Drosophila melanogaster: one gene and its partner. The protein of the gene in region 2 interacts with the protein of the main gene of each other region in a pairwise test. Each region holds a gene or a part of one and is shown on either strand. Other genes may lie near its edges.

Region 1 (3,268 bases), on a different chromosome or scaffold from region 2:
GCCTGTGCCAATTTAATCAGCAACGAAATCCTCAGTATGCGCAACGGACAGTTGGGCGCCAAGTCTGGAAGCTGCGCAGAAAGTGGTGGTGTGAAGCGGATAGCCGGCAAGGAGATCTCCACGCTATTCGAGGTTTGATCTCCGAGGCCGGAGCTGCAATGCGATAACTTTTATTCATCAGCGATCAAAATTGGCTGGCTACTTCGCTTGGTTGATTTCGGTGCTCATCCTGTGCGTCTAACATTCGCATTTGCTGCATAGTGTGTATTCCTTAAGTTGTGTCGTATTAGCCAGTATGCCGCATTTTGCCTGTAATTTCATCTAGTTTGTGTTTGCCTGTTTAGCTCCTATTTAATCGAGCCGTCTAATAGAATCACTCTTCCACTTACCCACAGGAGACATTAGTTGAAGAACTGCAGCAGAGCATGGCGACCAGACGCGGTTTTAGAGACTCGACCTACACCAAGGAGGATGTCGTTGATTTATAAGTGTTCTAGTTATATGCTCAACATTCCCTCACGTCGATCCCTAGTCCTTCACCCAACCTGCCACAGTTTCACGTGATAGATAGTAGGGTTGATGATAACGTTAAGTGATGATACTGATGATAAGGAGGAAATGAGATGAAATGGTGAAGACAGAAGGATAGAGGGAAACAAGGTTGCAACTTATCGTACTGAACCATTAATTTATGTGCAATGCCGCGTGTGTGTTGTTTTCATTTGGCAATTTAGAATGAACGTGATTTATTTATTGATACAAACCCTGATACTTTTATCCAAATTAACCTTTGCATATTTTTAAAAATGTTTTGTGTACTATATTTTATATTTTTATGTATTTAAATCAGTTAAGTGCCAATTATATACAGAATTAATCTACAAATATTTTTAGCGTGTGCTCTACATCAATTTCAATGAAACTAACGAAAATAACGCAATGAATATGATACACTATACATATTATGTAATTCGATTGAGTGTATAAGAACTATTTTAATGGGCTAAACCTAAAAAAATCTAAATGAAATATAATATTTTTTATAACTGCTTCCAAATACAAACTTTATGGTTTATTATTTCCCCTTTTCTGTTTACCTCCCCTATACACATACTTATAGTATTTATAGTATTTAAGCGACAATCCGTTTTCAAATTTTGAGGCGCGTTATGCCGCCAGAAACAAATGCATTTATTTAGAAACAAGGCGGAGACCGACGATCTTATTGATTATTTTCTAAATAGTTAACAATTTAAGAAACTAGGCGAAAACGAAACCGATATAAAATTACTAAGCCATTTAACAACAGAAAACCGAAATCTATAGAAAACTAATTACCCTTATCGCAAAACGATCAACTTCAATTTTGATGATCTAGTAGTTTGCACCAACGACACAGAATATATTCAGAGCAGCGTTTAAACTTTAAACCAGTCCACCACCGACCACACACTTCGAGTTTTGAGTGTATCCCGTTCTCATTCAAAACCCCGAAACGAAATAAGAGAAACTTAACGTGTTCATTAAAGTTAAGCAATTAAAACATCATTGTAATCTATTGAAATTCAAATTAAACGGAAACGATATTGGACAGTAGTGTTATTTATTTATTTTTGAATTTCGAAAGATCAGGGGCCCTATTGGCAGCATTGGAGTAATCCCAGTATTATTACGATATTTAGAATGGTAGAAGCCCAGCAGACCGATAAAATACCAAAACATTGTTACCACTAGATCTATCGATAGCGATGCCGGCATTGCTTGCTATCGGAAAACTGTTCATCACCAACTCGCGTCGGCAGCGAATTGTTTTTCTGCATTTCGGAAAATAAGCTTCAAAAGAGTATAAAAAGACCGAGTAAAGACCAAACGTAAGCATACTATAACTGCCAAGATGGTGAAACTAACGCCGGAGCTGATAAACCAGTCGATGCAATACATAAACCCATGCCGGGAGCGCGAGCTGGATTTGCGCGGCTATAAGATTCCACAAATCGAGAACCTGGGCGCAACTCTGGACCAGTTTGATACCATCGACTTGTCCGACAACGATCTGCGCAAGCTGGACAACCTGCCGCATCTGCCGCGCCTCAAGTGCCTGCTGCTGAACAACAACCGCATCCTGCGCATCAGCGAAGGGCTGGAGGAGGCGGTGCCCAACCTGGGCTCCATCATTCTCACCGGCAACAACCTGCAGGAGCTGAGCGACTTAGAGCCCCTGGTCGGATTCACCAAGCTGGAAACCATCTGCCTGCTTATCAACCCGGTATCCACGAAGCCCAACTACCGCGAGTACATGGCCTACAAGTTCCCGCAGCTGCGGCTACTCGACTTCAGGAAGATCAAGCAGAAGGACCGCCAGGCGGCGCAGGAGTTCTTCCGCACCAAGCAGGGCAAGGACGTGCTAAAGGAGATTAGCCGGAAGTCCAAGATGAGCGCCGCAGCCGCCATAGCTGCAGAGGCGGGGAATGGCAAGGGAAGGGGATCGGAAGGCGGACGACTGGCCAATCCGCAGGACATGCAGCGCATCCGCGAGGCCATCAAGCGGGCCAGCTCTCTGGCAGAGGTGGAGCGTCTATCGCAGATCCTGCAAAGCGGCCAGCTGCCGGATAAGTTTCAGCACGAGATGGAGGCGGTGGCACAGAACGGGGCGGGGCACAACGGTTCGGGGGCCGTGGCCATGGAATACTAGGACTAGAATTATCCGCTCATCTGTCAGCTACCTTATAACCGTAGACCAATATTTTTTAATAAAACACCAAAAGTTGATTCATCGCATTCTGCATTTCGGACACTCAAAAACATATAGAATCTTCTGTTTTCAACTAAGACCGCTGGCCGAAGGATCTTTCACGGAAAGATTCGGGACAATCGGTCACAACAGAAATGCATTTACATGACCGTAATTGGCTAAAAGTTTAACAATCTACAGCGAGTACAAAGGGGACACAAAACGAGAGGAGCTGCTGGCTTATGTGGAGAGTGGAGTGGTGTGGTGTGGACCTGGCTCCTGGAATCCGGTATTGCTGGGGAGTGTTATTAAGATCCTTTCGCCGCCATTATGGCGTCGTAGTGCAGGCCAGTGTAGAAGATGATCCACGTGACCAGGAATCCGGCAAACGACGTCATGAACCCCTCCTTGATCAGCTCCCATACCCCTCCGTAGGCGTCCTCGTCCACGTTCTGAAAGTTTATGGCGTACAGGTAGACGATCCCGCAGCTGATGCCGGCGAATCTGGGGGCGCATTGGATTGATTAAGTGAAGTGA
Region 2 (4,477 bases):
TGTCCCTGACAACGGAACACGTGCAGGATCGAAAGGGATTAGGATGTCATGGGCCAGGGTATATCGTCAACTGGTTAAGGCAACACTCGGCCAGGGACTACCCTTACCGACCACTGACTCCACTGTCCCTTCTGACCAGGTTCTTGTGTTATCGTGCTCCGCGGATCTCTGCATTGCACCGTTCTTCACCTGGAGTGATTGTCCTTGTATGTCCGCTCACTGGCTAATTCCCTTCTACGTCCTGCGCGTTCTCACAGACCGTTACCTTGTCGACGGGTGCGCGTTTTTCACTGACGGGTTGACTGTTCGCGGCGTTACTCTTACTTTCTCACTGTTCGTTCCCACTCGCGAATCTCTTGTCGCCTTGTTGGTATAGGTGGTCGCGGGGATCGCGTTATTTTTTTGTGCACGGTCCGCTCAGGTACAAGGCCACGTTAGTTCAAGGTGCGTCCTCTTTGTGCTCGTCCAAAGTCCGCATTGTTACCGTTCGACCTTGGGCCTTGGCCGTCCAGAGCTCGAGTCAAAGGTCCAGCGCAATACCGTTAGTTCACGGTCTCTCCACTTTGTCGGGGTCCAAGGTCCATTATTTTCCGTTCGACCTGGCCGCCTGACAACTCTCACATTCCAGCCGTCTTCGCTGTTGCTAAGCAGCTTTCCTAAGTTGTATTTTTTGAGAGTTTTAAGACTCCTCACAGTATTCAGCTCGCGACGTATGAAATCCGCATGTCGTGCCCTAAAATTTAGCAACAAGTTGTATATTTATATTTATTATATAAATATTCATTTTTAACTATGTATGTATGTTTGTATAGTTTTTATGAAATACATTTTTTAAAATGTATATATATTTTTTAAATTTATTTTTTAAATTACAAAAGTTTTATCCACAATTTTAGATAAAATTCATTTGATTTATTAGTTGAAATAATAAACATAATTTTAATTCTGTTATGTTGCTCACAGTCTCATGTTGAAGTATGTCTCCAGTACCATTTTACAAATATTAATTATAAACAATAAAATATATTTATGTGAACGGTTGATAATAATTTAAATAACATTAAGAATAAAAACAATAATGGTCAAGGCATTAATTTTTAAATCATTTTTAAATATGTAACTTCGCTTCTTAGATCAATATTAATTTCGGTTCGAAAATCGTCTTCTACGCTCTCAATTTCACGCGAGGCGGAGTAAGAGCAATTTTGGCCGTCACAAACCTCTTGATATTCGAATGTCTTTGCTTAGACATCGGTAGTCCCCGTGCCGCATGTAATTGGCAATTCTGTATGATCTTGATCAACACTAATCTACAAATCTCTTTAAATGACACAATGAAAATGCTAAGATATGCAAAACTTACGAAAAGCACATTCCCCGCAGGAATCTTCCTTTACTTTCTCAGTCGATTTATTATGTCTTGGCAATCGAGTAACTACAGTTCAATCCACTATACATTAACTGTTGCACAATTTATCGCTACAAAAACCATTACAAAATCAAATGGTTCGGCTAAACAGACGACGCTCTTACTGGCTCTCTCAAGCATTATTTATCATAAAATTTTGAATTGTGAAAAATTGATGCTTGTTTTGCTTTTATTAGTTTTAAGAAGTTTAACTTGTGTTAACTATGGGAAATCTTTATACAAAGTTATTCGATTTAAGCCCCGCCCACACTCTCATGAATAGAAGTAGTAACATTTTCCTTGTTTCGTAGCGTTTAAAGGGGTTTGTTTCCTATATATTCGATGATAGTAGTATCTTATCGTGCATAGGTAATTAAATACCTTCTTTCAAGGTATTTATTTTGAAAGCAACGAAAACATTATGAAGTACGACTTGTTTTTAACAACTGTAAGCTCTTCTTAATTTTTTTCTTCAATATCGATAATATTTAGCGTGTAAGTCGTAAGCTCTACTAACTATGACTATGCCATAGATGCAAGGCAATCGTTGTGCAATAGTTTTTATTTTAGTAAAACAGTGAAATTAAAAACAGTTCGATGACCCATGTAGTTGACTTAAGTTTCAACATAAAATAGACGCATGCGTTTTTTTGTGTTAGAAAAATTTTAAAATAAATTTAAATAAATAAATAGATTTGTAAACTTTTTTCTATTGTAGCTTATCTGTTCTTGCCCGATAGGGCATCCTTTCTTGCAGTGATATGGCTCTGTGTGAATCGGACATTAAGTCGAACAGTTGATAGTCATTAAATCTATCGGGCCTTGAAAATAAATAAAAACATTGTTGAAGCTCGTTGTCATCAATATCTTAAGGTGGTGCTAGTATTGATATATTTGTTAATGGATTTGTATGACGGCATTGATACGAGGGCTCGATCTAGCCAGATTGATGGATGGTCTTCGGGAATAAAAATGTTACAGACCCAGCTGGCAGTAAAAATGGCTGTCAAAAAACCAGTGAGTATACAATCTGCCGATATAGATCATACAATTATTAATACACCCTATGTAGCTTATGACGCCAGTGGTTAATCTAAGGTCCAAACGCCTTGCAGATCCAGAAGTTACATGTTTTGCTCCAATTACTACAGTTGTATCCAAACCATTAATAAGTGGTAAAGCCCTTCCATCCATACTGGAAAGGATAAACAGGGGGGACTGGGACGTTGCCGATGAATACGATCCTCAAAGGCCAAATGAATATGAAAAACTTAAAGAGAAAAGTAATGGCAGTGACAAAAATCGAGCAGGCGTAAGTGATCGAGAAGACCGAGATGACAAAGAAAAAGATCGTAAACGTGGACGCGTCGGTCGTCGAGAATTTTATAGAGACGAAGTCTCAGCCCCTAACCTGAAGCTCAGCGGGTTTGGCCACCGGCAAAACGATGATGACATGTACTTGCCATCTCCGGGCCTTGTAGCTAAACAGGGAGGTGCCACAATCGCTCCCCCTCCTTCCCTCCAAGAAATGTCCATTGATAGTGGTTGTGAAGCCACTAATACTATGCCATATTCTGCCAGCTCGGTGGCCGCCAAAATTATGGCAAAATATGGGTTTAAGGATGGTCAAGGTCTCGGAAAATCGGAGCAGGGCATGGCCATAGCTCTTCAAGTAGAGAAAACCTCCAAACGTGGTGGACGGATCATACACGAAAAAGACGTTTTTCTGCCACCCCTAGCATTGTCGCCACCTTCTATTGGCTCCCAAATAGGAACAAGTCCCAGCCACAAGGCCATGCCTCCTCCCCAGATGGTAGACACGGCGGCTGAGAGTGGTGACATCGGATACAGCATTACGGAGATTATGAAATCACCAAGCAAGGTTGTTCTTCTACGCAACATGGTAGGACCCGGGGACGTTGACGAAGAATTGGAACCCGAGGTAAAAGACGAATGCAACACCAAGTACGGGGAAGTGAACAGTGTAATCATTCACGAATCGTTCGGAACTGTGCCAGAAGATGCAGTTAAAATATTCGTAGAGTTTAGGCGGATCGAAAGTGCAATTAAAGGTTTTTATACATATGTGAATACTTTGTTTGGTAAATAGTTAGCTTTTATTTTTCTTTGCAGCTGTAGTGGACCTTAATGGACGTTTTTTTGGAGGACGTCAAGTGCGAGCGGGGTTTTACAACTATGATAAGTTTAAATGTTTCCAATTACATTAGAACTAATACAACTAAGATTGCATTTATTTTTTTCTAAGTTATTGATAGCCTAAAAAATGTTTACCGCACAGAACTAGTCTTGTAAATTTCTATTAAAAACTACTTTCTATCAAACAAAAACATTTTGACCATATTTATGTATATTTTTATTGTTGGGGTCGCTTACACAGTTTAGGTAACAAAGTGGAATACCCCTGGCTTTAGACCTTATGCTATGTTGGTTGGACCAAAGACACTAGAATAACAAGATGCGTAACGCCATACGATTTTTTTGAAAACGATTTTTTCGGAGCTGTTTTTTTACAGCAAACAGCTCATACAGTGACAGCCGGCAACTGTATGTGTGCACACGTATGCTCATGCATTGTTAATTTGACAAAAAATGCCCTTCACTTTACAAGTTTCTAGACTTTAAATATTTATTATTTTTTATCAATTGTCTCCATTTACAAAATTCCTGTTTTGCATAGCCTTAACGTTGTTATTATTTAGCTTAGAAATAGTAATAGCCGAATCAATGCACAGTGCCGCTCAACTGAATAGGTTGACTATTTTTAAATCCGAAACAAATTTGTATGTATGAATAGCTCAGTTATTAATAGCTGTTAAATAGCAAAGTTTCTGATCTCTTAAATTTGTTTTTATATCATTTTTTTTTTCAAAAACAACAAAAAATCTTCAATTTTTTGGCTTAACTGAATAGGTTTTACGCTTTTGACTTTACTTTTTGTTTGACCGCGTGATTGTAAAAAGTTAAATTCTTTTGTATTCTAAAATATAAATTATCTTTTTTAATCTTTTTCTCAAATGGTCCGCGGAAAACCTTTATCCGATTTTGAAA

The links.
Region 1: the proteins of Spf45 (region 2) and U2A interact in a two-hybrid assay, tested with the Drosophila melanogaster proteins (one study listed by BioGRID).

Annotation. Positions count from the first base shown.
Region 1 is NT_033778.4:7,674,862-7,678,129, reverse strand, and holds U2A (U2A), read left to right. Parts: upstream 1-1,767; 5' UTR 1,768-1,894; coding exon 1,895-2,692; 3' UTR 2,693-2,768; downstream 2,769-3,268. Other genes in the region: LRR (Leucine-rich repeat), read left to right, coding at 1-132, 396-488; CG12107 (uncharacterized protein), read right to left, coding at 3,040-3,235. UniProt on the Drosophila melanogaster protein: Involved in pre-mRNA splicing as component of the spliceosome. Associated with sn-RNP U2, where it contributes to the binding of stem loop IV of U2 snRNA.
Region 2 is NT_033779.5:23,066,148-23,070,624, reverse strand, and holds Spf45 (Spf45), read left to right. Parts: upstream 1-2,238; 5' UTR 2,239-2,308; coding exon 2,309-2,425; intron 2,426-2,433; exon of another isoform or gene 2,434-2,480; coding exon 2,481-3,480; intron 3,481-3,541; coding exon 3,542-3,636; 3' UTR 3,637-3,751; downstream 3,752-4,477.